Linked DNA regions of Callithrix jacchus. The protein of the gene in region 3 interacts with the protein of the main gene of each other region in a pairwise test. Links are inferred from orthologs where the notes say so. Each region holds a gene or a part of one and is shown on either strand. Other genes may lie near its edges. The genes, in order: LMO1, ARID5A and SOX5.

Region 1 (10,265 bases), on a different chromosome or scaffold from region 3:
GTACACACATTAAAGCCGGAAGGTGGGGGCTTCAATCCAGGCCTCCAGCACCATGGAGCAGTTCCCAGACTTGAAACTAGGCTCTGTGATTTCAAGGTCTGAACTCTTAGCCTCAGCCACGCTCTCGACTCTGACCTTTTGAGGAGAGTGGGGATGGGCAGGACAAAGGCGTTTCTTCCTGGAGCAGTAGCAGAGTGAAGGCCTCGGACAGAAGCAAACAAGATCCATTTGTGGGAGGGAGGGGAGCTGTTTTCCAGGATCCTGTGGGAAGCAGGGCCAGCAGTGCCCAGCAGAACACACTGGTGTGTGGCAGGGGCCGCAGATGCCCCGTGGAGTTGCCGGGGGTGGCCACAGTAGCTCCCAGCAGGGGATCTGCAGGGCAGAGCCTGGAGTGACCTGGGGCTGGGTGAGGTTGACATTCTGGGCTGGAAGACTGGCCTTGGAGGAGCTCACTGGGGTAGGTGTCCCCCAGGCTGCCATCCAAGCCGGAGTAGGAGCCTGTGGGCTTGGCAGTTTGGAAAAGTCCACATGCTGGAGCTGAGGGGCAGCTGGGCTGGGACAGGTGGGCAAGAGTCACTGGGGACTTGGGTCTGGCCCAGTGGACTACTCTGGGGTCCATGTGAAGACCAGGGCGTTTCTCCTCTCAGCTGGAGGGAGAGAGTGGGAGGGGCGGGATGACCTCTAGCATTCCCTCCCTGTCACCTGGAGTGTCTGTCTCTTCCCCAGATTAAAGAGCTGAGGGTGAGTGTCTGGCAGCCAGATGAGTCAGACTGGGAGGCTTCTCTCTGAGCCTGGCTGCCCCCTTCCTCCAGCAGCCCTGCCTCCTGCTAGAGGTAGGGGTTGGAGTTCGGCCTGTCTTCCCTCGAATGTCATTCCCCCCACATCCTGAGACTTAGGGGTGACCCTGAGTTGATTGGGCTGGTTTATTCTGCTGGACGCAGCACATGCATCTGAGTATGTGCCCAGGCGTGCGCGTCGGTGCAAACATCAGCCATTGTAAAATATCAGTGTTTTCATGGGTGAGTAGTAATTACTGGGTAATGCTTTAAAACCTTTCCTGAAGGAGCGCAAAGCGGTTTTTTTTTCTAAAGTCAGGAGTACATTAAAAGGATTACCATGTAGATTTGATTTTTAGATAACACTAAAATGGATCCCAAATGGACTTCAGCAAAGGGATGCTATCTCCTTAATGGAAAGTGCATGGCCTGAGGCTCAGGTCCCAGAGCCAGGCTGAGGAAGGAGGGAGGGAAGAGGTATCCGCAGGGGCAGGCTGGCGGACTGACTGGGGGGCTAGGTGGCAACCGGGGGAGGCAGGGCATGAGGGAGGGCCCAGACCCTGTGGGGAGCTTATCCCTCCATCTGGGGAGCGGACTGCAGAGCCCCGCCTGAAAGCCCCTCCCGCTTTCCAGGAGTGTTTTAAGTCTCAGTGGCCAGCCGGTGAGTGCAGACACAGCATGGGTGTCCCATGAGGGAGGGTGTCTCCACTGTTTTGTTTGACCCCCAGACCACCTGTAAGAAGCAGGGGATTGTTTCAATGTTTCTTATGGGCCGATGAAGGAACTTAGGCCCAGAGAGACTAGGGAGTTATACTCTGGACCCACAGCCCCAGGACTGCAAACCTGCAGTCTGGTCCCAACCCTATCCCACTGGGCCGCCATGGCTCAGGCTTCCCCCAGGACACCAGCCTTTCTCACCAGGAGGTCTCTAGACACTCTGGGGCCTCCACCAGGCTGACCCTGGTGTTCCATGTCTCGGTGGACCTGGGACACTTTGGCGGAAACTGTGTGGCTTCTTTTTTTTTTTGAGATGGAGTTTTGCTCTTGTTGCCCAGACTGGAATGCAATGGTGCTATCTTAGCTCACCTCGAGCTCCACCTCCGGGGTTCAAGCTATTCTCCTGTCTCAGCCTCCCTAGAAGTAGCTGGGATTACAGGCACGTGCCACCACACCTGGCTAATTTTTTGCATTTTTAGTAGAGATGGGGTTTCTCCATGTTGTTCAGGCTGGTCTTGAACTCCTGACCTCGTGATCTACCTGCCTTGACCTCCCAAAGTGCTGGGATTATAGGCCTGAGTCACTGCCCAGCCTGCTTGTGTGGCTTCTTTAAGAGTTCTCCAGAGCCCAGCAGTCAGTTTGGCACCCCAGAAGAGGGGTGTCCAGGTCTTAAGGTAACCTGCCTGTGCAGGGGCCAGCCTGGGCATAGGCAGCAGGGAGGGGCCTGAGGCAGCTGGCAGCTTCGCCCCTCATGGCTCCACAGGGTCCTCAGGATGCCCCGTCTCTCCAATGGAGAGACTGTGGGCTAGTGCTGTAGTTCACAGCCCTGCGGGGGCCAGGAAAACACACTGGGGGCCCAGCTTGGAAGACCAGCTTGTCTAAGAGCCAGGGCAATGGAAGAGAGGGTGGGGCAGGTGCTTCAAGTGCTGGGGTCTCTCATGGTCTCCCTTCATTTTGGGCTGTAATTTAGAGAGCTAGAGTCTCTCGAGTGCGGATGCTCCAGCCATTACCCACCTTCTGGTAATAGCCCAAGCCTAGGGCCCTGGGAGGGGCTCAGGGCCACTGGGAAGGGAGCCAGGCCTGCAGTGAGCTGGGCTGAGCAAAGGAACATCAGCCTTCTAGGGGCTGTATCAGGGGCCTGGTCCGGCATTTTCCAAGCTGGTTTTGTATGTGTATCTCTGCTGGAGGCGCAATCCCTGCATGGGGCCTAGGGACAAGGCCCTGCCCTTGGAGCCCCACCCTGGTCCAGGTCCTACCCTGGGAGCCCCCTCATTTCCCCATCAGCTATTTTAACCCCTGCCCCATTTCCCCACACCTCCCTGTAGGCCAGGACTTGTTCAGCTCTCGGGGGTACCTGCTCCCCAGCTGCCCTCCTTGGGCTCTTTCAGAGCTGTGTGCCAGGCTGGGCCCTGCTGGAGGAGACACAGGCAAGCCTGAGAACAGCCATCCTGTGCCCCATCCCACTCTCAGACCAATTAACCTTTAGAGCTGCATTAAGGAAATTAGGCAGCACACTTCCCAGCTAACAGGCAGGCCCTGTGGGGCCTGGAGGGAGGAGGAGGGGCCACTGGCCCTGCGCCCTGCAGCCTGTGGGTGGGTGCCTGCTCCCCAGGCTCATCTGTCCAGGAGAAGTCTGAGGAGGCAGCTAGGCTGAGAGTGAGCACAGGAGAGGGGAAGGAGCCCTGGGGCTGCTTGACCAGTGCTGACTCAAGGCCCTGTAACTGAGCCTGTTTCCCCATCTGTAGAATGAGAGCATTTGACTGGAAGAACTCTAAGGGTTCTCCTGACCTTACATCTGTGGATTCTGATACCAAGGCGTCTTGTGGTTGGTTGTCCCCTGATGCCCGAGGAGGAGGGAAGTAAAAGGAAGAGAAGCGGCCCAAGTGCTCACACTGCAGGCTGGGGGCAGTGAGAGGGTAGGGACTGGGAGGGACACCAGGGGATGGGAGGAAGGCCAGAGCCCTGGAGAGAGCTGGGGTCCTTTGGAGAGGATGGGGCCAGTGGGAGGACAGACTCCGGGGGAGTGCTGGAAAGCCGGAGGGGCCGGCCCAGAGCCCGCTCCCCAACTCAGCTGCACCTGAGTCAGGGACAGAGCATGCACACCCTCCCTGTCTTCACGAGGGTTCTCAGGCAAGTCCCACAGGCTCCCGCCCTGCAAAGTCACAGAGCAGGGCTTCTGAGACTCTCTGCACCTCCCTCCAAGCCTCACAGAGCCACATGGATGTCCAGGCTACTATACATCTGTCAGGCTACTATACTTCTCAGCTGTCACTGTGGTCTCAGGAGGAGGGACTGGGAACCTGTGCCTCTGTCACTTCGTGCCTACACCTGCATAGCATGCCTGCGCGTGAGGGGTGTGTGTGAGCACACGTGCTTGCCTGTGAGACGGGAGGCTCTGCCCCGTGGTAAACCTCATGCTGGTCTTCTGCCCTTTGTGCTTGGGGCTTGCGTGTATGTTGGGAAGCTGGTATGGGCCCTGGGAGGGGCTGATGCCTGAGAGATCCTAATCCTGGTAGAATGAGGGAGGATCCAGAGGCTCAGAGCCTGCCCTCCCCCAAGCCAGAACGGGTGAGGTATGACACCACCTGAAGTGTCCCCAAGGGGAGCCCCGGCCAGGCCCCACCAGCTGCATCCTCTTACCTGCCAGGACCCCCAGAGCCGCTGTCCCCTCCTGGGAGTGTTCTAGGGGCATCTCACTTCCTTCATGACGCCACCACAGTTCTACATGGTTAGCACAAGAGGCTGTAGCCTATCAGTTTGAGAAAGACAAGTTGGCAAAAAGATCTGGGGGTTCTAGTGAACCTCACGGGCCTGAGGAGACCACATTTCTTAGGCTCATTGCTAGAAGAGCGGATGTGATGGTGGCCTTGCAAGGGGAGGCTTCAGGCTTACTCTGGATCAGACTGCACAGGGGATAGAGGCCCGGGTTGGGAGGAACAGCTCAGGGAGGCCAGGCCTGGGGTCTGTGTGTGCCTTGGAGCAGATCAGCCTCCATAGGGACCTTCACAGGGCCAGGGGAACAGGCTGTGCCATGCAGCCCAAAGGGCAGGACCCAGAGCCAGGGGAGGAGGTTATTGGGGAGAAAGTAAGGGCTCCTGGGAGCCCCAAACCTAGAGGAGGCAGCAGAAAGCAGTGAGCTCCCCATTCTTGGGGGATATTGCTTGAGGCCCAGAGCTACAGGGCCCATCTGGCATTGCTGTCTCTCTGTCCATCTGCAGGTGTGCCAATGCTGTCCGTCCAGCCCAAAGGGAAGCAGAAGGGCTGTGCAGGCTGTAACCGCAAGATCAAGGACCGCTACCTGCTGAAGGCATTAGACAAGTACTGGCACGAAGACTGTCTCAAGTGTGCCTGCTGCGACTGCCGCCTGGGCGAGGTGGGCTCCACCCTCTACACCAAGGCCAACCTCATCCTGTGCCGACGCGACTACCTGAGGTGGGCCCCCCCCGCCCCTGAGCCGTTGTCCTGCTCAGAAAACCCCCATCCTCAGCCCCATTGTGACTATGCCCCTGGCCCTCCACCAGTACCCTGTGTGTGCCTCATTCTTGAATGTCCTGCCCCTGCGCTGCTTACCCCAGCTGTCTGAGAAGTTGCCTGAGGGCAGGCCAGGTCTCTATATCCATGGACTCAGTGCTCAACACAGGTCCAGGGCAGGCATGTGTAACCCTGGGCCCCTGAGTTAAGCTTCCTAAGGCCCAGCCTGCCTCTGCCTCTGCCTTGGCCAGGTGCTTCTGACCCACCTGTTTTGGAATCTGGGAGGGGATACCTTAGAGGGGCTTTGAGAAGCAGGTTGGAAGCTCTGACTTCCCTGGGCCCCTCCTCCCTGATGGAGTCTCCTTCTGACCCATCTCCCAGTGCCCAACCTTCCTTTCCAGGTGGTCCTTGGGAGCAGGCATCCATTTGCCCAGAGATCCTGGCAGGTAGCCATATCCTGGGAGCAAGGCCACTGCTGCTGGAGCTTGAAGACCTGGGTTGGAACTGGCTCTGAGCCTTTGGCTCCTAACCTTCTCCCAGCCTCGGTTGACTACTCCCCACCCCCATAAAGGGTGAAAGAACGAGACTTCCCTGCCTTTCATTCCTCTGAGCTCTCACTCACCCTCCCCACAACCTGGATCCTATTCCCTGGGGCTGCCTCCCCCAATTAACCCTCCCTGAGGCCATTTGTGACATCAGCAAGGCTGGAAGGAGGCCACAAAGCAGGGCCTTGGCTGAGACCCAGCACCTGCATTTGGCTCTGTCGCAGGCTGCTGGATGGTGGCTGGGCTTGTGGGGAAGGAGGGCCCATAGCATTAATTAACAGGTCAGGGCAAGGGCTTCATGGGGCTCTCTCTGCCCATGTCTGGGCATGTTGCAAAAGGGAGGTTATCAGTGGAAGCTCCTCCACTTCCCCAAAGATCCTTTGACTGACCTGCCTGCACCTTCTCTTTAACACCGGCATTTAAAGGTGATGCAGTAAAACAGGATCTGTGACTTGGTGCTCCTGGCTAGGGCTGGAGCGGAGAGGCTGAAGCCAGGAGCAGGGGTTAAAGAAGAATGTTCAGGCTAGGCATGGTGGCTCATGCCTATAATTCCAGCACTTTGAGAGGCCGAGGCAGGCGGATTACTTGAGCTCAGGTGTTTGAGACCAACCCTGGGTAACATGGTGAAACCCCATTTCTACAAAAAAAAAAAAAAAAAAAGAAGCCAGGTGTAATAGCTGCACACCTGTAATCCCAGCTACTCAGGAGGCCGAGGTGGGAGGATTGCTTGAGCCCAGCAGTTTGAAGCTGCAGTGAGCTGTGATCGTGCCACTGCACTCCAGTTTGGGTGACAGAGTGAGACCCTATCTCAGAAGAAAAAAGAAAAGAAAGAATGTTCCTGGGAATTCACCCCTTGAGGACCTAGAAGAGGCCTCCATGTCTGGAGGTTTAGGGCATCACCTGGGAACAAACCTTCCAGGGTAGGACAACGTGGCAGACCATGGGATGGTTCTACAGGACTTGGAGGGGGAGGTCCACAGTGCAGTAGGCACTTGTCAGGAAAATGCACCCACAAGCATCCAGGGCCCTAGCAGCTACTAGGGACAGAGGTAATTTTTTTTTGCTCTGGCAGAGGCAAGGAATGACTGTAGGGCCAGCGAAGCCAGTGGGCTGGGATGGGAGCGTGGCTTCCTTGAGCTGCTCAGCCCTGCAGAATGGCTTTCCAGAGCCTGCGCCCTCTGCGGCCCTATTCATTGGGCTGATGGCAAGAAAAGCCCCTCTTGGCAGGCAGATGCTGTGGCCCAGCCTTTGTCTGCCTTAATCTGAGCCACCAGGCAGCTCAAGCTGATGAATAATGGAGCCAAGTTCATCTGCAGGTGCCTGAGCTTGAGCTGGACAAATCGGGGATTAGAGGGGCTTCCCACCCACTTCTCAGCCTCCTTGCCTCACTTGGGGCTTGCTCCATCCCTGTGCAGGAAAGAAGCAAGGAGGAGCCAGGGTGGCTCAGACCATTGGGACATCCAGCCAAGGGTTGGCCTGCATGGGGACAGAGTAAACTTCCTGTCCCTAGAGCTTTAGAGCCAGGAGCTAAGAGGAGGGATGCCTGCCTCAAAGAGGCATTTGTGCCAGATGTCCTTGGAGCTTCCTTTGGGCATCAGTTCTGATTTACAGCATCTTTGAATACGATCATTCATCCCTATTTTACAGAAGGATAAACTGAGGTTCAGAGAAAGGAAAAAAAGAGACTTAGGCAAGTGACACAGTGAGTTTGTCATGGAAAAATGATCTAATAAAACACTTTAATTTTGGCAGGGCACAGTGGCTCACACTTGTAGTCCCAGCACTTTGTGAGGTTGAGGCAAGAGGATCACTTGAGGCCAGGTGTTCGAGAACAGCCTGGCCAACATAGTGAGACCCCCATCCTATTTTTAAAAAATAAAATAAAAAACACTATAATGTTAATGGTAGGAAAAACATCACACAGTGGTTTAGGGCACACCTTCTGGAGCAAGGCCTTGTGCAAGCTGTTCTCTCTGTGACTCATTTTTTAAACCTTTAAAATGGGGAATAATAATAGTATCACCTCCTATGTTTGTTGCGAGGATGAAGAGTTAATCTTTGTAAAGATCTTAGAACAGTGACTGACACATAGTGAACACTGCCTAGGTGGTTGCTTAGTGAGCTGTGACTGAGAATTTACAAGGGGTTTCACAAGCACCCCATGAAGGGTGTGTTTTGGACTTCAACAGATGAGGTAAATGAGGCTCAGAGAGACTCACTGACTTGCCTGAGGACACTCAGCCCAGGATCCACCATCTGTCCCTGAAATTCAGGCTTGTGTGGGTCTGGAGCCCTTGTTCAAGGCCCAGCCTAGGATTCTCTTGGTGGCTCCAGGGCTTGAGGACCCTTGTGGGAGCCTGGGAGGGAGCCTTGGGATGGGCAGTTACAGCCAACTCCTGACCACCTACATACCCTCGCTGGAGGGGAATATGCCCATTTCTTGGAAGCCAGATCTCTGGGCAGAATATAGATGCTGCCCTCGGTGCTCTTACCCCCTTTCATGAGCCCACCTGCCGAGCCCACAAGCTGGAGGATGGGAAGGACCCTGGATGGAGGGTCCTTTCCCCTGCCCACCCAGTTCCCCAGAATGCTGCTGAGACCTCTGTGCCCTTCCCTCTGCAGGCTCTTTGGCACCACAGGGAACTGTGCTGCTTGCAGCAAGCTGATCCCAGCCTTTGAGATGGTGATGCGGGCCCGGGACAACGTGTATCACCTCGACTGCTTCGCCTGCCAGCTCTGCAACCAGAGGTCAGTGCTGGGCTGGCAGACCCAACACACTCCCGAGACGCCAGCCTGAAGCCTGCTGGGGTGGGCCAGGAGCACAGTGGGGACGTGCATGCACAGGCAGCTTGCATGTGTGTATGTGACGCTGTGTGCAGGTTATGAGTGCATGTGCTTTATGTGTTGTATGTGTGTGTAAGCTCGGTAGCCAAATGTGTGCACTCGAATACTGGATGTGCACATCTGTGTGGCACATTTTTGTGTGAATGTAATGGAGGTGTGCCTGAGTTTACTGTGTATACATAGTGAGCATGCATGTGCATGCATGTGTATTTATGTGTTACGTGCAAGTGGGCACATGTGCATGATGGAATTAATAGGCAGCTGTATACATGTTTTCAAATGTCTGTGAAATGCAGATATACATGTGTTTTTAAATGTCTGGGTGTGTGTGTGTGTTTGTGCAATGTGTGTGCACGATGAGGTGAGTATACATGTGTTTACATGTTTTGTTTTTTTTTTTTTTTGAGATAGTCTCACTCTGTTGCCCAGGCTGGAGTGCAGTGACATGATCTCAGAATCTTGGCCCATGGCAGCCTCCGCTACCCGGTTCAAGTGATTTTCCTGCCTCAGCCTCCTTAGTAGCTTGGACAACAGGCGCGTGCTACCACACCCAGCTAATTTTTTTTTTTTTTTTGCATTTTTAGTAGAGATGGGGTTTCACCACGTTGGCCAGGCTGGTCTCAAACTCCTGACCTCAGGCGATCCTCCCAAAGGGCTGGGATTCCAGGTGTGACCCACTGCCCCTGGCCTGTATACCTGTTTTAAAAGTGCATGTACATGGGCTAATGTATCCTCATGCCCCTGTACCCAGTGTGTGGTGTGTGTCTATGTGTGCATGTATGTTCCAGTGAGAAGGGATTCCCAAATCTGGAGGGCAAAGTCCCCTCAGGGAGTGGCCACTCTCTCCTGACCCCACCCTTGCGATTCTGGTTCCAGCCCAGCCTCTTTTCTGATCTGTTGGCCCCAAATCTGTGCCCTAGCCCTGTGGGAGGCCCTGGGGGGCCTAGAACCAGAAGGCAGGTGCTTTTCTCAGGAGCTCCCAGCTCAGGTAGGAAGTGAGGTTCAGATGGACCTACAGGGAACGCTGGTCTGACTGGGGGCCTTGGCCAGACCTGCCGCTAGGAGGGCTCAGTGAACTTACAGCGCCACCTGGCGGTTGGACTGGGATCTGCTGGAACTAGGCCAGCAATCTTGGGGTCTCCCTAAGGGCTTCACCCACCCTGGGAACATCTTTGGGGAAAGGACTGGAATCTTCCAGTACTTGGGGAGGACTAGGAGACCAAAGAAGGGCCTTCCTTGGGTAGGAGAGGAGATAGTGGAACAGGGTCATCTCCTAGAAGGATGCTCCAGGTAACCACCGATTTTGTTTAGAGGAAGAATGTCCTGTATTAAGCCATCCTCTTAAACTGGGGAGAGGGATAGAGGGATGGAAAAGCATCCATCCTATCCCTCCCTCCTTACCTTTCCATCTCTGCCTTTCTCCATCTCTCTCCCCTCTTGTTCTTTTTCTGTTTGTCTGTCTTTCCCTTTCTCCCTCTCTGGGATTGGGGTAGGCTGTTCCTGTACCTCTCCACCAACCCCCTCCAACCCCACACTCACCTCCACAGGAGACCTGACTGTGGAAGGCCTGTGGCCCAGGCTCAACTGTCTGTCTGTCCTATTACCTCAGGCTGCAGGGCCTGGCCAAGGGTGGTGCTGGCCCAGGGGAATTGCCCAGGTGTGCTATAGGGACTTTTATCTGTTCCCTCTGGAAGATTCAAGGAACAAACTCCCCTACCACCTCCTGGGCCATGCTGGCTTCTGTCTGCAGCCCCCTTTTACTCACTGGCACCCCCAACCCCATGGCTTCTCTCTCTTGCTTGGATTTTCCAGATTTTGTGTGGGAGACAAATTCTTCCTGAAGAACAACATGATCTTGTGTCAGATGGACTATGAGGAGGGGCAGCTCAATGGCACCTTTGAATCCCAAGTT
Region 2 (10,064 bases), on a different chromosome or scaffold from region 3:
TAATAAAAGTGTTCCTCCAAGTGATTCTGATGGGCCCTGTCTAACCACCGTATATTTCTCCCAAGGGGCAGCAACTTGCCAGGGTCACATAGGAAGTCTGTAACTGAGAAGCCCCTGTCACACCAAGGAAGATATGGAGAGAGTCCTTCAGTGCTGAGGATCTGGGGTGGCAGGAATGAGGGGAGGGATGTGTGAGCTGAGAGTGGTAGGCAGGGGGAGAAGAGCCAGTGGAGGAGGTGCTCCTAGACCTGGAATACTTCAGGAATTCACGATAGCTAGCAAAAAACTCGAGGATCTTCCTCTCCCATTTCCCAGCAGGGAAGACTGAGTCACAGAGTCACAGAGGACTTGGAAAGGCATCAGTCTGATGGGTCACTTGTTAGTAGCTAGGATTTCTGGAGACCGGTGTGTCAGAAGCCAGCCCAAGAGGGAGGGCCTGGTCTCCTTCTCTTTGCCAAGCCTTAGGATTGGTTTCTCTCCAGGCTTACTTGGACTCTTCCTGAGTCCGGCTTTGCCAATGTTGGTAACCACAGCGGCCACTGGGCCAGAATCAGACCTTGATTTGAATCCTGGTGCCCCAGAGAGGCAAGTGACTTAACCAAAACCATTATGGCTTCAGATATCCCCTCTTTAAAATGGAATTCCTCTAGGACTGAGGGAGAAAATGTACAAGCACACCTTGCTCTTTTGTGCTTTGCTTTATTGTACTTCACAGATACTCCTTTTTTTACTCATTGAAGATTTGTGGCAACCCTGCATCAAACGAGTCTATCGATGCCATTTTTTTCAACAGCATGTGCTCACTTTGTGTCTCAATGTCACATTTTGGTGACTCTTACAACATTTCACACTTTTTCATTATTATTATTATTATTTTTTTTTTTTTTTTTTTTTGAGACGGAGTTTCACTCTTGTTACCCAGGCTGGAGTGCAATGGCGCAATCTCAGCTCACCGCAACCTCTGCCTCCTGGGTTCAGGCAATTCTCCTGCCTCAGCCTCCTGAGTATCTGGGATTACAGGCACGTGCCACCATGACCAGCTAATTTTTTGTATTTTTAGTAGAGACGGGGTTTCACCAGGTTGACCAAGATGGTCTCGATCTTTTGACCTCGTGATCCTCCCGCCTCGGCCTCCCAAAGTGCTGGGATTACAGGCTTGAGCCACTGCGCCCGGCCACTTTTTCATTATTATTATATCTGTTATGGTGATCAGTGATCTTTCATGACTGTTGTCATTGTTTTGGGGTACCATGAACTCCACCCATAAAGTGAACGAAATTGCTAAATGTAGTTTGTTCCACCTGCTTCAGCGACCAGCCATTCCCCATCTCTATTCCTCTTTCTCTTCTGTGGCCTCCCCATTGCCTAAGGCACAACAGTATTGAAACTGGGTCAATTAACAATCCTACAATGGCCTCTAGGTGTTAAAATGAAAGGAAGAGTTACAGGTCTTTATCTTTAAATAAAAAACTGGAAACGATTAAGCTTAGTGAGGAAGGCGGGTCAAAAGCCCAGATAAGCTGAAAGCTAGGCCTCTTACACCAGTTTGCCAAGTTGTGAATGCCAAGGAAAAGTTATTGAAGGAAATCAGAAGTGCTATTCCAGTGAACACACACGGTAAGAAAGTGAAACAGCCTTATTGCTGATAATGGAGAAAGTTTGAGAGGTCTGGATATAAGCCGTAACATTCTCTAAAGCCAAAGCCTAATCCTGACCAAGGCTCCAAATCTCCAATTCTGTGAAGGCTGAGAGAGGTGCAGAAGAAAAGTTGGAAGCTAGCAGAGATTGATTCATGAGATTTAAGGAAAGATGCTATCTCCCATCACATAAAAGTGCAAGGTGAAGCAACCAGTGCTGATGTAGAAGCTGCAGCAATTTATCCAGAAGATCCAGCTAAGATCGTTGATGAAGGTGGCCATGCTAACCACAGATTTTCCATGTAGATGAAATAGCTTTGTATCAGAAGATGTCATCTAGGACTTTCATAGCTAAGGAGAAGTCAACGCTTGGCTTCAAAAGATTGGCTGACTCTCTTGTTAGGGGCTAATGCAGCTGGTGGCTTTAAGTTACTCATTTATCATTCCAAAAACCCTAGAGCCTTGAAGAATTATGCTAAATCTACTCAGCCTGTGATAAAGATGTAATAACAAAGCCCAGATGATAGCACATTTGTTTATGGCATGGTTTACTAAGTATTTTAAGCTTACTGTTGAAACCTACCACTCAGAAAAAACATTCCTTTCAAAATATTGCTGCTCATTGACAAGGCGACTGGTCACCCAAGAGCTGTGATGAAATGTGCAAGGAGATACATGTTTTCATGCCTGCAAGCACAGCATCCATTCTGCAGCCAAGGATCAAGAAGTAATTTCAAGTTTCAAGTCTTACTATTGAAGAAATACATTTTGTAAGGCTATAGCTGCCATAAATAGTGATTCCTCTGATGGATCTGGGCAAAGTACATTGAAAACCTCTGGAGAGCATTTAAGGAACATTTGTGATTTGTGGGAGGTCAAAATATCCAAGCATTTGGAAGAAGGTGATTCCAGTCTTCATGGATGACTTCAGGGGGTTCAAGACTTGAGTGGAGAACTCACTGCAGATGTGGTAGAACAAGCAAGAGAACTAGAGTTAGAAGTACAGCTTGAGGATGAGACTGAATTTCCGCAATCTCATGATCAAACTTGTATGGATGAAGAGTTGCTTTTATGGATGGGCAAAGAAAGTGGCTTTTTTTTTTTTTTTTATACAGAGTCTTGCTTCATCACCCAGGCTAGAGTGCAGTGGTGCAATCTCAGCTCACTACAGCCTCCACCTCCTGGGTTCAAGGGATTCTCCTGCCTCAGCCTCCCAAGTAGCTGGGACTACTGGCACCTGCCACCATACCCGGCCAATTATTGTGTTTTTAGTAGAGACAGGGTTTTGCCATGTTGGCCTGTCTGGTCTCAAACTCCTAACCTCAGGTTATCTACCCACCTTGGCCTCCCAAAGTGCTGGCTGGGATTACAGGCATGAGCCACCGTGCTCATCCTAAAGTGGCTTCTTGAGGTGGAATCTACTCCTGGCAAAGATGCTGTGAACATTGTCAAAATGACAACAAAGGGTTTAGAATGTTACATAAACTTAATTGATAAAGCAGCAGCAGGGTTTTAGAGGATGGACGTCAGTTTTGAAAGAAGTTTTGCTATGGATAAAATGCTGTCAAGCAGCATCACATGCCACAGAGAAATCCTTCATGAAAGGAAGAGTTGCCGGGTGCAGTGGCTCATGCCTGTAATCCCAGCACTTTGGGAGGCCGAGTTGGGTGGATCATGAGGTCAGGAGTTCGAGACCAGCCTGGCCAATATGGTGAAACCCCGTCTCAACTAAAAATACAAAAATTACCTGTGTGGTGGCATATGCCTGTAGTCCCACCTATTTTGGAAGCTGAGGCAGAAGAATCGCTTGAACCAGGGAGGCAGAGGTTGCCCTGAGCCAAGGTCACAACACTGCACTCCAGTCTGGGCAAAAGACCGAGACTCAGTCTCAAAAAAAAAAAAAATGGTGAAGGGGGGAAGAGTTAATGAATATGGCAGATTTCACTGTCATCTTATTTTTAAGAAATTGCCACAGTCACCCCAGCCCCAGACACCATCACCCTGATCAGTCAGCAACCATCAACATGGAGGCAAGACATGAACACCTATCGAAGTGGGACCACTCAGTGGCCAAGTCTTCTACCCCGTGCCTCTGAGTACTACTGGCCCCTGGTTCATGCTAGTATGGGTTTCTTGTTCCCAAGGAGATTCTTTTTCTCTCTGGGATGGAAGGGAAATCTCACAGATTCCCAACAATAAGGATTTTCTGGGCTGAAGTGAACCAAGAGTACAGGACAGTTCATACTCAATTAACAAAAGGACAGAAAGAAAAGGTTGTCAGACATGGGTTCCTGGTCTGGTATCTGCTGCCAGCCTGCCATGTGGCCTGAGGCAGTTTCCAATGCTTGTGTTTTTTGCAGTGGTGGAGGTGTTGCATTTTTGAAACCATCAGCACATGGTGGCTCTTAGTAAAATAGAGGCCATGGCTTCTCCTGCCCACTACTCAGGGTTGGTGTGAGCCTTGCTCATTCCAGCTTGGCACCTGCCGTGTGGGGCATGGGAAGCCTCACTGAGCTATCAAGGAGCCCTGGGAGCCACAGGCAGTTAAGCCAGGATGCCAGGATAACTGTGAGTAGCCGAGGGCAATGGAGGAGATGTCTGTGGCCAGGGGCCGGAGGAGGCCACCTAGAGAAAGACACTTGTCAGCAGAGACCTGAGGGGCCACCAGGACTCCTGCAGGTGAGGGGAACATGTGGCCTAATTAGAGCAGTTAGAACTCTGCAGATTCTCAGGGAAAGGTCAGATGTTCCCTAGTATGCCTGGAGGAACTACTACCCAGGGACCCCCTGTGGTGCCTTGAGGCCACATCCATGGGATCCTTTAGCTCTCCAGTGAGGCTGAGTTGCTTCGGAACTCTGTGTCTGAGCATGGTTTTTGGAGACAGGATTTCCCCAAGCACCACAGCCCAACCCCAGCCTCCTCTGACTTGACCTCAAGGTGGTTTTGCGTTTCCTTCAAAGATGTGGGGAGATAGCTGGAGCAGAGGAAAGAAAAGGGGTGTGGAGCGGATGCAGTGGGTTGGGGAGTGGCGAGGGGTGTGTGTGTGTGTGTGTGTGTGTGTGTGTGTGCGTGTGCGTGCCCATGTGTGCAGGATAGCCTGTGTGCAGCTAGGGACATGCCCCTTCCCACCCCCGGCCAATTCTTTTTTTTTTTTTTTTTTTAAATAGAGACAGGGTCTCTATGTTAGCCAGGCAGGTCTCGAACTCCTGACCTCAGGCAATGGCCTGCTTGGGCCCCCCAGAGTGCTGGGATCACAGGTGTTAGCCCCTGCACCACCAGCACCCTCTGGCAACTCTGATTGGACTTGGGGAGATTGCTGTTCCTCCCTGCCTGCATCTCATGTGCTCTCTCCCCACCTCTTCCTCCTTCCTTCCCTCTTCCCTCTCTCCTTGCAGCAGCCCCTGTCAAAGGGAACAGGAAGCAGTCCACAGAGGGTGATGCCCTAGACCCACCTGCATCTCCCAAACCTGCTGGTGAGCAGAACAGGAGCCAGAACCCCATCCTGCTGGAGGTGAGTTGGCTGACTCCCTGAGCACTCTTCCCTGCCACCTTCACCTGTGCTTAGCCTCCGGGTAAACCTGGACACTCCCCAAGCTCTCAGGAATTGAGACATGTTCCTGTCCCAGCCCTGCCTGGCAGCCAGGGGACTCACTTGTCATCTGTGGCAGAGAGTTTCAATCTTGGTTTTTGTAGCAGAACCCTTTTTTCAAATGAAGATGACCCACCACCCTGATCCATCCATAAAACAGACAAAAGTTCCAGCCCATATTGTAAAACCACATTCACATCTGTTCATCTCGATGCATAACGTGGGCATATAAAGTCACTCCACGAGACCAACAACCAAGGCTGTTTCAATGAGTACAGAATCTGAAGGGGGTGTTGCAGGTGGCTTTTTCGGCGCACAGTCGAGCTCAGCTTCCGTTCATTTCATGCCACCATTTACTTTGGTGGCACAGTCTGGAAAAGTATCCCGATTCATGCAGAAAAGTGGTTGCAAATGGTAGTCGTCTTTAGCAGCTTGCCTGGAATTCAGAATAGAGGCCTGGAGGAGCAGATTCACTTGAGCAGTTGAGAGTGAGCCTTCCTTCTGAGGTCTGCACAGATCATCCCCGGGCCCCAGCATGCTACGATTTCATAGGTGACATGAGTTTGTATGTTGTTTCTTCTTAGAGGTCTTTAATACCTTAAAAACACTGAACTATTATAGAAGCTATTTACAACTAAAAAAATAGTAATAACACTGAAATAAACTTGAATCTATTTATTTAATTTTTTTTTTTTTTTTTTTTTAGACAGAGTCTCGCTGTTACCCAGGCTGGAGTGCAGTGGCACGATCTTGGCTCACTGCAACCTCTGCCTTCTGGATTCAAGCGATTCTTCTGCCTCAGCCTCCCGAGTAGCTGGGATTATAGGCAGGCACCACCAGGCCTGGCTAATTTTTATATTTTTAGTACAGATGGGGTTTCTCCATGTTGGCCAAGCTTGTCTCGAACTCCTGACCTCAGGTGATGTGCCCATCTAGCCTCCCAAAGTTCTGGGATTACAGATGTGAGCCACGTGCCCAGCTGGATAAAATATTTTTAGAACACATGGCTCTCTGCACTGTTCTAGTCCAGATGGTTTGTGTTCTGGAAGCTGTCTGTTCTCTAAGTAGGAGACTACCTTGTGCCAGGGTATGGGTCCTGGGCTTTCAGCCCCAACCCACTGTACCCCTCTATTCTGAGCCACTTGCTGGATGAATGGCATCAGCAGAGATTGCCCCTCTGGGACCCACAACAAAAGTCCTGTGTCCCTGACAGTGTGCAGTAGAGGCCCAGAGCTTCACCTCCCTGTGCTCAGCATGGCAGGCTGGGGCCATGTAGAGGCTCTGGGAATGTGGGCCTGACAGAGTGACCCCACAGTGCCAGAAAGCACCAAGCACCTCTGTTCCTTCAGCTTTTCCCTCAGGAGGGCCCCAGGGACACTGAGCCCTGCCCTCCAGGAGCTCCTAGTCTGACAGAGGAGCTGACACATATATGATAAATCAAGAGCAAGACAGAGAAGTGACCCTGGCATGGAGAAGGCTGGGGACTGCTCCCTTGGCCTCTGGAGCCAGCTGCTCTGGGGAGGTCCTGGACTCCAGCCCCTGTCCTGGGGCACTGAAAACTGACACCTGTGCCTGCCGAACCCAGGAACAGTCACTCTGTCCCAGAATAGTGGCTGGGTGCTCTCTGGGAAACTGGGGTTGGGGCAGGTACTTTATTCCTCCTGCAACCAGTGGTTTCTGCACATCCTCAGCAGCCAGCCACCAACTGGGGCCCATCCCAATGCCTCCTGTTCTCTCCCCAGGACTCCCCCGAGGCAGGCGGGGAGCGGGAGGAGGAGCAGGAGCAGGAGCGGGAGGAGGAGCAGGCCTTCCTGGTCAGCCTCTACAAGTTCATGAAGGAGCGACACACACCCATCGAGAGGGTGCCCCATCTTGGCTTCAAGCAGAGTGCGTTCCTGGGGTGCAGGCAGGGAGGGGGGCCCAGCAGGGGACCCCACCCAGGCAGGGCATCGGGCAGGCACTCCCATTCTGGGTGACCCAGGTTGCAGATAGAAAGGAGGCTTCCCTCCAGGCTGCCACTGGGCCAGCAGTGCACAGGGCATAGCCTGCCTGTTCGTTGCAGTGGCCCTGGCTGGTGTGTGCTGGTCTGTGCCCGTCTGACAGGGTGCTAGGAAGGGGTGGCAGGCTGCCCCCACTTCCCAGAGAGACTGACTGCTGGCCTGCCCCTCTCTCCCCCAGTTAACCTGTGGAAGATCTACAAGGCAGTGGAGAAACTGGGGGCCTATGAGCTGGTAAGGCAGGTACCTCCCAATCCTTACCAAACTCCATCTTCTTGGGGTGAGCCTGCAGCCTCTGGACAGAGGAAGAGCCAGGATCCCCTGTCCTGCCCCTGCCTCCCCACCTCCCCCGCTGGTACTCTGCTGCTCAAAGCAGCTTTTCCAGCCTTCCCCATCTGTCCTGCCTAACCTGTGTTGGGAAAACTGCTTGGGCCAGCAGTCTTTGGCCCTGGGAGGGAGAATGGGCCAGCCGCTGCTGGAGCTGCAGGGCAGCTGCCAAACTGCAGTCCTTGCCGGGTCCCTGCGAAGGGGGCCAGAGCGGCAAGGATCCCGCTGCCAGGGGGCGCCCACCAGCTGCACCCTCACTAGGTGCCCTTGCAGGTGACCGGGCGCCGCCTCTGGAAGAACGTGTATGACGAGCTGGGGGGCAGCCCGGGTAGCACCAGCGCAGCCACGTGCACACGCCGCCACTACGAGAGGTATAGTGGGGTGGGCCGGGTGCTAGAGGCCACCTGCCCTCCGGGGCCTTGGCCGAGCGTGCTGGGAGTGCCAGGTGGACTCTGCCCGGAACAGGAGGTGTGTGCGCCGTCCTTAGCTTTTAGCACTGCAGGAGGCCAAGCTGGCTGGGCGCAATCACCTAGGGAGCTGAAGCTTTGGGGCCAGGAGAGGGCCTTCCTTGTCGCTTAGAGGAAGTCGCAGAGGCCCGTGGAGGGAATGGGAGCCGGCCTCCTGGGGGACATGCTTGGCTCCTCCCCAGGCTGGTCCTGCCATACGTGCGGCACCTGAAGGGGGAGGATGACAAGCCGCTGCCCACCTCCAAGCCCAGGAAACAATACAAGATGGCCAAGGAGAACAGGGGGGATGATGGGGCCACTGAGAGGCTGAAGAAGGCCAAGGAGGAGCGGCACGTGGACCAGGTAGGCCTACAGCTGGCTGGAGCCACCCTGTCCCCTGCCTCTTGCAGTCCCCACCCCACAACTCCCTGCAGCCACAGGGCTGTCTGCTCAGAACACACAGAAACTGCACCCAGGTCAGGACTTGCAGGGTTCCAGGTTCTCCACAGACGGTTGTGCAAGTGGCCTCTGAACTCCAGCCTCCGCCCACCCACCAGGCCCTGTGTCCTGACTCGAGGCTGTGTCCACTCACAGGACAGGGCACCTTTGGAAAATTCTGCACAGAGGCACTGTAGAGGCTAGCAGGGGATATAGGCAGGACTGAAAGTGCCTCCTCCTGCTCCCCAGGTCGGGATGCACAGGTCATGCAGCCCTGAGGCATGGCTTTCTCTCATTGCAGATGATGCCAGGAAACACCAAAGCAGATGTCGATAACCCAGCACCTCTTCCTAGCCAGGAGTCCCCCAGAAACAGCACAGAACAGCAGAGCCCGGCCTCTGCATCTTCTATGTCCTTTGTGGGTGCCAGCGGCTGCCCTGAGGCCTACAAACGGCTCCTATCCAGCTTCTACTGCAAGGGGACACATGGCATCATGTCACCACTGGCCAAAAAGAAGCTCCTGGCCCAGGTGAGCAAGGTGGAGGCCTTGCAGTGCCAGGAGGAGGGCTGTCGCCATGGGGCAGACCCCCAGGCATCCCCAGCTGTTCACCCCCCAGAGAGTCCTCAGAGCCCCAAAGGGCTGGCTGAGAACTCCAGGCACCAGCTGACCCCTCAGGAGGGACTGCAGGCCCCAGGTGGTAGCCTCGGGGAGGAGGTACAGGCGAGACCTTGCCCGGCAGCCCCCATCTTCACAGGCTGCTTCCACACCCACCCCACTGAAGTGCTGAAGCCTGTCAGCCAGCACCCCAGGGACTTCTTCTCCAGACTTAAAGATGGGGTGCTATTGGGGCCTTCTGGCAAAGAGGGGCTGTCAGTGAAAGAGCCCCAGCTGGTGTGGGGTGGGGACGCCAACCACCCTTCTGCATTCCACAAAGGTGGCTCCAGAAAAGGCAGCCTCTACCCCAAGCCAAAAGCCTGCTGGGTATCTCCCATGGCCAAGGTCCCGGCCAAGAGCCCCGCGCCCCCATCCACCTTCCTCGGTAGCCCAGGCCTTGGCAGCAAGCGCAGCCTGGAGGAAGAGGGTGCTGCCCACAGTGGGAAGAGACTGCGGGCTGTGTCTCCCTTTCTTAAGGAGGCGGATGCCAAGAAGTGTGGAGCCAAACTTGCAGGATCTGGCCTGGTCTCCTGCCTGCTGGGCCCAGCCCTGGGGCCTATGCCCCCAGAGGCCTACAAGGGTACTATGCTGCACTGCCCGCTGAACTTCGCTGGCACCCTGGACCCCTTGAAGGGCCAGGCTGCACTCCCCTTTAGCCCCCTGGTCATCCCAGCCTTCCCAGCCCAATTCCTGGCCACTGCAGGCCCTTCACCCATGGCCACTGGCCTAATGCACTTCCCGCCCACGTCCTTCGACAGTGCCCTCCGCCACAGACTTTGCCCAGCCTCATCTGCCTGGCACGCACCACCAGTCACAACCTATGCAGCACCCCATTTCTTCCACACCAAGCTGTAGGCCAGCCCATGTGTCGCATGTGCTGTGGAGTTGGCTAGGGCCTGTGATGGGTAGGTGCTGCTGCAAGGGCGCTCTGGACTGGTGCCCACTACCCAGGACACCTAGTCCATGACTGTGGCT
Region 3 (10,265 bases):
GTACAGAGATCAATTGATGACAGGAAGTTCTGTTTTAAAAGTTTTATTTTAAAAATTTGCTACAGAAATTCACAAAAAAAGATGACAAAAATGGCAGTGAAGATAGAGAAGGGAGGCTGGAACAAGAGCTCTTTTTAAGTCAGTACAGCAATATTTATGTTATGTTGTCATTTGTGTAAAAGGCATTCTTATGGGCTGATCTGTGCACCTTCCCCCTGCCTACCAACCCTAATTCACATGTTGAAGTCCTAATGCCTAGAATCTAAGAATATGAACATCTTTGAAGATACAATCTTTACAAAGGGTATTAAATTAAAATGAGCTTATTATGGTGGGTCCTAATCCAAGATGACTGGTATCCTTATAAGAAGAGGAAATTTGGACATAGATATGTACAGACTGAGACAATGTGAACACAGAAGACAGACACCTACAAGCCAAGGAAAGAGTCCTGGAACAGATGAACCCTGCCAACAACTTAATCTTAGACTTCTAGCATCCAGAACTGTAAGGCAATTTCTGTTGTTTAAACCACCCAGTCTGTGGTACTTTTTTATGGTAGCCCTGGCAAACTGATAGAGAAATGTTATTGTATATGCATAAGTCTGTGTTAACAAGAAAAAGACACACAAAAGAATAATAGTAATGGTTACTTTTGAAGGGACAGTGTTGGAGATCTTTTACTATATTTCTTCATCATCATAATTTACTAATATGAACAGAATATTGAAAAATATAATTTTAATTAAAATTAAAGGAAAAACAAACCTATTTTGAGAAAAAATTACTGTGATTAGTTAATATGACCAATGTAGGGATGGGTAGTTGCTAAGGAAATTGAAGATGTTCTTAAGTATTTTAGAATGCTGATTGGTGATAATGCTTTAAAATTACAGGAAAATGGTGAGTTTTACTCTATGCTTGTTGAATTTTATGACTGAAATACACCCTCAGAGATACCCTATGCTGCATCTAAATATTGGTTACTAGGGCTGGGGGACAATCTTAGGGTTGGCACCTATATTATTTCATTGACTATGAGACTATGTGTTTTAGAACTCAGTAGGTTAAAATATGCAAAGCATTGCTGAAATATAGTGCTTAGAGGTTAAAACATGTTAGTTCAAGGCCAGAAAATATAAAGAATGGGACTGGGAAGAGTATGGGCATTTATGGGTGGCAGACGAGGAGTTAGGGAAAAAGATTGAGAAGAAAAGGTTAGCTAAGTAGGAGTTGAAATAGAATGAAATTGTGTCCGGGAAGTCATATGAAAATGCTTAAGATGCGACAAGGTGGGCTGAAGGTTCAAAAAGTTTGAAATGAATGTGGACTATAAAATTAGAAATTTTAAGTTTGAAATAAATCTTATTTACTTCTTTATGACTAAGTGAAAACAAAAAAATATTTTGTTAAACTTTCATATACTTAATGACAAAATGATATTTGTTAATTCTCATCACCAAATATATACAGTTGACTCTTGAACAGTACAGGTTAGAATTCCACAGGTCCACTTATATGTGGTTTTATTTTCCCAGCTAAACACAGATCCAAAACGTAGTATTCACAGAATGTGAAACCCTTCTGTAGAGGGCTGACTTAATTGGATTCTGCAGGACCAGTTGTAGGTGTTGAATATGCACTGATTTGCTTAAGCTTTTAAGTTATCCTTTCCCATGTTGAGGTGAAATACAATTCCTGAGTTCAAGTGATCCTCCCACCTCAGCCTTCCAGTAGCTAGGATGACAGGAGCACACCACCATGCTCAACTAATTAAAAAAAAAAATTGTGTAGAGATAAGAGTCTTGCTGTGTTTTCCAGGCTGATCTTGAACTCTTGGCCTCAAACAATCCTTCTGCTGGATCTCCCAAAACATTGGAATTATAGGCATAAGCTCCTGCACCCAGGCTTGGGCTAAATTTCTAAAAGCAGAATTATCCTTTGTAGGTTATGTGCATTCTAAGACATGTGTATTGCTATTCCTAGTGTGTATTTCTTGAAATGTGGTAGAAATTTACTGCTCTACTAACAATGTAGGAAGATGTTTATCTTGCTAGCATATGAATATTTTCAGTAAGAAAATCTTTTCAGGATATATTTATATTATTTAATATTAGGATATAATAGTCATGTGGCTATTATTCATAGAGTGAATGTTCATTCTAATGGAATCCAACTATCTGAGATATAATAAATTATTAGCAGCACATTATAGACCATCTGCCTTGAATAAGGATAGGCATTGTTAATAAGAAAGAGTATGCGAAATGGTTACTGCCTTATTCACACATTTTCTTTTCTGGATATTGTTGTCTAGCCTATATGTAAAATACATTAGAACCCTTATTTCTACTCCAAATGTGTGTATAAAAATTATAAGCTACTAACTATAGCTGCTACTTCCTAAAATAGGACAAACTCTTTTAGCCTAAATTGGTAGGAGAAATGCACTGGGGTTAAGAAGGGTGACTGAGTTATAACAGATCCTTCTATCTAATTATGTATACAGGTGACAAATGCAGAAGTAAAATAGTGCTTAGTGTCTTATGTTTGAAGTGAAAATTGTAATTAAAGAGGGTGTTCTCTCCTACTGGTAGTGCTTTATCATAGGGACTTTGTCTATATTGTGAGTTTGAAAAGAACAATTAAAAGTGATACTGTTTCTGTTTCAGTGAACAGCACACATTTCCCTTATATTAAATACAAATTTTAACTTAATAAGATTAATTGGCATGTTTTAAATAAATTGAACAAAATATTAAATGATGACCATGACTTCTCCAAATCTTGGATTTATGCATAAGCTAACGCGATGATAGTATGATGCCAATTTGCCAACCATGTTGTCTCACAATTGGCATATTTGTGTTCTCAAACTTAAATATTTGCTCAGTTAACTATATTTTATTTTTAAAGATAGACTCTGAATTGGCCTATGGGGAATACAGTCTAAAACTTGATTGGCTAAATAGATATTTGCTATCTTGTAACATAGAATTCCTTAGTTCTGAATCTTTGTTTTTTTTTTTTTTTTTTTTTTTTAAGAAATGAAGAATCATATCACTAATACTAATGCACTGACCTCTTAATAACTATAGCTATTAATTTTTTAAGTCTTTGTCTTGCTTCTTTATTTAGATGAAAAACTATTATATTTAAAGCCAAGAACTATACTTTGGACATTGTTTTATTTCCAGCAGGCTCTAGCATAGAACATTAAAAACAGTAGATGCTCAGCTAACATTTTTAAAATTTACTTATAAAGTAAAATTTTTCAGAAACTATAGATTATTACTAGTCATAAATGTAAAAACATTCAAAATGTTTGCTCATTCTGGTACTTTGGTAGAAGTCCAGTGTTCTGTCTATTGTGCCAGAGAGCCAGGTTCATTGTGGTACTTTGTAATCAGTAAATTACCATCACTTTTTACTGTTGAGTGAAAATCTAAAAGAAGGTAGGTAATGTTTTTGTGTTCATTGAACTTTATATTTGGACTAGCTCTGCATACAACAGAGTCGTTTTCATTGAAGTAATCACTTTTTCTGATTTAGCTTGTCTGTTTTATTGCCATATTATTTTTAGGGACTCCTGAGAGCCTAGCTGAGAAAGAAAGGCAACTCATGGGTATGATCAACCAGCTGACCAGTCTGCGAGAGCAGCTCTTGGCTGCCCACGATGAGCAGAAGAAACTAGCTGCCTCTCAGATTGAGAAACAGCGTCAGCAAATGGAGCTGGCCAAGCAGCAGCAAGAACAGGTGAGTAAGAACTAGTGATGCAATCAAATTATTCAGACATTGCTTTGCCTGCTACTTATAGGTCACTGTACTGGGTACACAACAATGAATAAGAGTCCCTTCCACCTCCCTAGTTAAATAAATTAAAAGGCAAAAAAAAAAAAAAAAAAAACCCACCCACAGATAAAACCCAGATTTTAAGATGCTTATTAACTACTTTGGTGGTAAGTAGCTAGAAGTAATTATAATCAAGGTAAATTTTGATAAATCATGAGGAAAATACCAAAAAAGAACCATGGGGAGTCAAGAGAACGTTTTCAACAAGAAACATTTTGAATGAATTTATTAGAGAGCTGACATTTGAGATGTGCTTTGAAGAACTGGTAGGCTTCAAGAAGTAAAGTGAGTTTCCAGTTGGGGACAGGAAGTTCAGTTACAAGGCTATTATAATACTTTCAATTAAAAAGGGTGAGAATCTAAATTAGTCGGGTAACCATGGACAAAGAGAAAAAAAGGAATAAACAGGTCCACGAGTTATGGTTAGTAGAATTCTTTGAGTAGGCAAAAGGGAAAGGAAAACCATTGAGCCTAATAATAGGGAGATTGAGAATGCCGTCAGTAGAAACAGAGGCAGTCAGGAGAAGAGCAAGTTTGGAAAAGAAAGTAGTTTTATGATGTTGAATTAAAGTTGCTGTCAGGTTGTCCAGTTGGAGGGATGTGAGAGACAGCTAGAAATACCAATCAGTACTTTGGAAGAGAGCTCAGTTGTTTCTTATTTACAGAGAAATGGTGCTTTAAACTGCTGAAGGAGATAACATTCATTCATTTATTTGACAAACAGTAATCAGGGCTTCCTATGTGCCAGGCACTGTACTAACTAATTGCTGAGGCTATCTCAGTTAACCAGAGAGATAAAGCCCCTACATTTTAGTGGAAAGAGAGAGACAGATAAAGGAACAGATAAATTAACAAGATGACATTATATAGTGATAAATAATTTGAAAAAATATAAACACAGTAAAAAGTTAGATGTTGGTTGCTATGACAAGGAGCATTGGCTCCTTAGATGGGGCTGCTGGATGTTTCTGAAGCTTTGGCAGTTAAGCTCAGAACTAACTGATATATAAGAGGCAGCCATGTTAATATTAGGGACAGGAGTGTTTTATGAAGAGGTGTGGCAGGCTTATAGGCCTTAAATTACAATGGTAATAAGAAAGCAGAAAGGAACTAAAAGTGGGTCCTTGGGAGGTACTGGCATATATAACTGGCAGAGAAAGGAATATGAACATATACAGAAAGAAAGATGTGGAAGTGGGGCCAGGAGTGCAATGTATTGGAAACAAAATGGAGATTTTAAGAGATAATAGGGAGCAGTGTTAAATGCTGTAGAAGAGTAGTCATTCTAATAATCAAATTGAAACAAGATTTGTCATTTAGATTCTCATTGTCGGCCTTGAAGAGTGAGGCTTCTATGGTGTTTTAGTAGCCGAAATCAGACAATAAGACTTGGAAAATGCATAGTAGGAAAATGGAGGCAGTGCCTATGAACTATTAAAGAAATTGGTAGTAAATGGAAGGTATGATAGAGGGGAGGTGTCATAGTTTCACCTTATGTAGAAGTATGGCTCTCTTTTTCATGGCTAAGTTCTTTTCCTGTTCCATGTTCTAGACATATTCCACAGACCATCCCAAGTGGAGGATGGCCACTATTTAATATTTGCATGTCTACATATCCTAGAAAAACCTTCTAAACATCTTTCCAAGTACAAGTTAGCAGGGTTGAATGACATGAAGAAATACTCAGTTTATGTTTGAGGAGCTCCTTTTTTCCATCCCCCTATTTTTCTTTTACTCTTCTCTGCTTGGTGGTTTATGGTTTATCTCTGATTAAAAGTTGTTAGTTTTATTTTTAATGAAGTGCCTCATCACTTTCATTAAAGATGTTTTTGGCTTGTTTTTGGATATGGCCCATATGCTTTACCCCTATGATAGAAGAGTTTGGAATGCTTGCCAGTAACAGTATAAAACAACAGCACTCTTTCCTTGTCCTTAACTCTGAATCTTTCAGTCAACTGAATTCTGGAGAATCCTAGGAGTCTCCGAATATGTAGCTTGGCCGGGGATATTTTTTGTAGATAATCTCTATTTGCTTTGGTGGGCCTGAGGGCACACATGTCCTGAAAGATCTAAGCAATGACTGATGGAGAGGAAGTTTCTTTTTTTCTCTTTTACATTTTGGCCCATCTCTGAAGATCATGAAAGGATTCTAGAATCCTTTGATTCTAATAGTTTCCCAAGACCGCTGACATTCTTCTTGGAACTTTACAAACCCCTAAGTTCTTCAAGAATTTCTCTCCTGTGTAGGAGAGATGTCCTGCGGTGCTGCTTCCACAGCCTGGGAGAAGATCCCGGGTGATAGCCACAGGTCATGTATCTAGAGCCCATTCAGCTCTCCCAGCGCTTCTCCACCATACATAGCAGGTATGCACAGGTACCACTCTGTGGTAGCATATTCTTCCATGAAGGGCATTTAATACTTATTCTTTAAGGGTCAGGGAAGGTGCATCTTCTCCTCTAAAGTCTTTTTCTGATACTCCTTCCAGCACTCCCTACTGAGTGTCAGATGTTCCCATTCTGTGCATTCTAATACTCCTGATGTAGCTGTTACCAATGCCAGAGGACCTGTTTACTGACGAGCCTTTCCTCCAGATTCTGAGCTCCAGCCCACATTCATCAATTAGACAAATATTCATTGACCACCAATTTGATGCCAGGTTTTGTTCTAGTTAGTGGGAATAGAATGGGAAATAAAACGGACAAAAACCCCTCATATATTGAAATCTAGCTGAGAGGGGTAGACAATAAATAAACTGTAAACTATATGTTGGTAAGTACTATGTTGAAAAATTAAGCGGGGCATTGGGAATGAGGGTATTATCTATGGGTTTATGTTCTTTTAAAATGGGTGCTCAGGGAAGACATTATTGACTAAAAACATTTGAGCAGAAACCTGTAGGATGTATGGGAATGAGCCATGGGGCTATCTAGGCAGAGTATTTCAGACAGAGGAAAAAGTAAGTGCAAAGGCCCAGAAGCAGGAATATCCTTCAAGGCAGGAGCATGCTTGGTATGTAAAAGAGGCAGTTAGGAATGCAATGTGGCAGGTGTGGGATGACAATAAAAATTAAAGATGATATGAAATCACAGAGGTAAAAGAAGGCCAAATCATATAGGGCCTTGAAGGCATTATATGCACACTGGCCTTTTTGATGAGTGAGAGAAAAGAGTTTTGGAGAGGTGAATAGCATAACATCACACACACATATACATATATATGTGTACATATATATATATATTTTTTTTCTTTTTCTTTTTTTGAGACAGAGTCTCTTACTGTCACCTGGGCTGGAATGCAGTGGTGCAATCTATGCTCACTACAACCTCCGCCCCCCAGGTTCAAGTGATTCTCCTGCTTCAGCCTCCTGAATAGCTGGGAATATAGGTGCCTGCCACCATGCCCGGCTAATCTTTTAGTCTCACTATGTTGGCCAAGCTGGTCTTGAACTCCTGACCTTGTGATCTGCCTGACTCGGATGCCCAAAGTGGACTTATATTTTAAGAAGTACTCTCAGGATGCTGGTTTGTGATAGACTATAGGGAACAGGAGCAAAACACAAAGAGCATATGGAGGCCATTACAACAGTCCAGACAAAGGCACAGTGAACAGAAGAAAGTGCACAGGAGGTTGAAGTAGTCAGGTTCTGGAGTATTCTGAAAGTTTCATTAAAATGATTTAAATGGCAATTGAAATATTGATATGTGGGAGGAAGGAATGAGACTTAATAGAAAAGATAATCTTTCTTCTTCTACTGTCTCCTTTATCACTTTCTTCAGGAAAAATAATTGTGGGTCAGGCATGGTGGGTCATGTCTGTAATCCCAGCACTTGGGAGGCTGAGGTGAGTGGGTCACCTGAGGTCAGGAGTTCACGACCAGCCCGGCCAACATGGTGAAACCCTGTCTCTAGTAAAAATACAAAAAAATAGCTGGGCATGGTGGTGGGCACCTGTAGTCCCAGCTATTCAGGAGGCTGAGGCAGGAGGATTGCTTGAACCTGGGAGGAGGAGGTTACAGTGGGCATAGATCATACCATTGCACTCCAGCCTGGGCAACAAGAGTAAACTATGTCTCAAAAAAAAAAAAAAAAAAAAGAAAGAAAAAAACTTTTTTTTACCATAGTCCAAAGATAAAATTAAAGTATTAAAACAATTATAATTATACCAACATCCATAAAGGAGGTAAAATTTTTTGTGTGTAGCCATGTAGACTCATCCTCATCACGTGGGTTCTCTACTTTTATTCATGGTGATGTATCATTTTTTTTCCTGTATTTTTTACTTTTGGATACAGAGGCTAAGATTTTTTTTTTTAATGAAAATAATGGCGATTATTACTTGATGAGAATGAGATCTAGAACTTATTTATAAGACAGTGATAAGTTTTAAGATGTTAGAAGTTACATCCTATCCCATGCGATTAAATGTTTACAATTTTCATCTCATCTATTAATGCATTCTTCTTATCAGATGTCCATTCAGCATTCCTTTATAATGGACTTCCTGTGAATAGTGATTAAAATTTACATGGCCTCTACTATCACTGAATTTATAGACTTCTCCTTAGGAGACAGAAAGATGTGAATAACAAATAAATAAACAAATATGAAGTCATAGCATGGGCATAATGTTAAGTAAATGTAGGGAGTGTTGTAAGTGCAAACAACAGTGGGTATGGGAAGTCATTGTGCTGTTCCCTAAGTTAGGAAATATTTAAGATGACTATATGGAAGGCTAAATCTCAAATTTAGTTTTGGGCCTGTTGAACTTGAGGTACCTTTGAATAAGTCTCTCAATAAGTGGATCTGATGATTAAAACAAAGATCTAGGCTAGAGAAACAAATTTAGAAGTACTTGGCTTACGTGTGGAAGTAAGTACGAAGGAAAAGAGCAAAAATCTAAAATTGAGAGAATTACAACATTTAGTGGCTGGAAAGAGCCATTAAAGGTGACTAAGAAGGAAAAGACATGAGAGGTAGAAATGAAACCAGGGAAGTATGATGTCACAGAAGCCAACAGAGAAAGTTCATGATCAAAGGAAAGCATTTGAGTGTTGAATTCTGATGAGACATCAAAAGGCGAGAACTGATAAATGCTTCAGAATTTTTAAATAATGGGTGTGATTGACAATCTTCTTAAGAATCATTCTGGTAGAGAAATGGAAACAGAAACGACAATGGTATGTGTTGAGTTGGTAGTTAGGGGTTTGTGAGAGGCAGTAATGAGAAAATTATTTATCTAAAAACAAAAAATTACCAAAAACTTTACTAATAAATCCAGTGTCTTGCAATACTTTGTGCTACTCTGAACTCCTCAGTCTTAAACCTACCCCTCCCCATTTGTGAAACACTGTTATAGAAAAAGGCTGAGAATGTCAGAAGCAGCGCCTTCTTAAGGTATCACTAAGAAGAGGGATGCTTGAAAACCAGACATTTCTTTCTGGGGTTGATCACTGTCATAGTGTCTTAGGCTTCATTTGTTTTAGGCCAAAAGAAACATAACTGCTTCTAAAGATTGAATATCTTCCTTGATCTTACTTAGTATGAATTGCTAAAAGTTTAGGAGCACAGACACATCTATTTTCATCATCTTATTCAATGTCAAATCAAACTTAGAGAAACAGAACATTAGTAACTTCCCTCTGGGACTACAATATACTTGTAAATTTCTCATGTGCAATTTCTCCGCAGATTGCAAGACAACAGCAGCAGCTTCTGCAGCAACAACACAAAATCAATTTGCTCCAGCAACAGATCCAGGTCAGAAATCATAATTTCAATATACTTATAATTTAAAAATATATATATTCTGTTTCTTATTCTTAAATACCTAACTGAAATGACCTCCAAAATAAAAATTACTGCCATGTGAATCTTGCAAATGGTGTTTGTCAGTCACAGGCCCTATTGTGTCAGGGAGCTTCAATCTAAGCAAGCTAATAGTTATTTTCATCTTATACTGAGAAGAAATTATTGTTGATAAAGGTTTCATTTTCTTTATATGTTACTGTTAAAATGTGTCTATAAGTGTTCTTAACTGGGTAGGGGCAGGGAACCGAAGCAGAAAGGTACCTAGGTTTTCAGTTAAGAGGAGTGCCAGAGGGAACTTTTTTATTATATACCCGAGAGCCATGTGTGATAAAGGTGGAGCATAGGGTCGATAATAATTTGGTGTTCAAGTCAATTTACCCGTGGTTTTGCTTGGAGAAAACAAGGCTGAAGGCCGTAGGACCTCCATATTTTTATTATATGGAAATTTGCAATAATAAGGGGCGTCAATACAGAATGAAGTCGCTGTATTGATAACAAAAAGAAAAAACGTTTCCAGTGATGTCTTGTTTCCACCACTTGCTGGTGTCATAAACTTTGACAAAAGTTCACGTTTGTTTCCCTTCTGACAGTTTAATTTCTGAACA

Evidence for each region.
Region 1: the proteins of SOX5 (region 3) and LMO1 interact in binary tests that used the Homo sapiens proteins (3 or more experiments, as listed by UniProt). The two-hybrid records come from large-scale screens. The link is inferred for Callithrix jacchus from reciprocal best matches to the Homo sapiens genes SOX5 and LMO1.
Region 2: the proteins of SOX5 (region 3) and ARID5A interact in a two-hybrid assay, tested with the Homo sapiens proteins (2 studies listed by BioGRID and IntAct). The two-hybrid records come from large-scale screens. The link is inferred for Callithrix jacchus from reciprocal best matches to the Homo sapiens genes SOX5 and ARID5A.

The regions. Positions count from the first base shown.
Region 1 is NC_133511.1:74,088,472-74,098,736, reverse strand, and holds part of LMO1 (rhombotin-1), read left to right. Parts: intron 1-4,711; coding exon 4,712-4,925; intron 4,926-8,131; coding exon 8,132-8,257; intron 8,258-10,165; coding exon 10,166-10,265. UniProt on the Homo sapiens protein: May be involved in gene regulation within neural lineage cells potentially by direct DNA binding or by binding to other transcription factors.
Region 2 is NC_133515.1:6,492,775-6,502,838, forward strand, and holds part of ARID5A (AT-rich interactive domain-containing protein 5A), read left to right. Parts: exon of another isoform or gene 1-5,026; intron 5,027-5,032; coding exon 5,033-5,148; intron 5,149-5,932; exon of another isoform or gene 5,933-6,145; intron 6,146-6,968; coding exon 6,969-7,113; intron 7,114-7,404; coding exon 7,405-7,466; intron 7,467-7,823; coding exon 7,824-7,921; intron 7,922-8,199; coding exon 8,200-8,359; intron 8,360-8,735; coding exon 8,736-9,944; 3' UTR 9,945-10,064. UniProt on the Homo sapiens protein: DNA-binding protein that may regulate transcription and act as a repressor by binding to AT-rich stretches in the promoter region of target genes.
Region 3 is NC_133510.1:47,538,499-47,548,763, forward strand, and holds part of SOX5 (transcription factor SOX-5), read left to right. Parts: intron 1-3,583; coding exon 3,584-3,756; intron 3,757-6,070; exon of another isoform or gene 6,071-6,216; intron 6,217-9,540; coding exon 9,541-9,609; intron 9,610-10,265.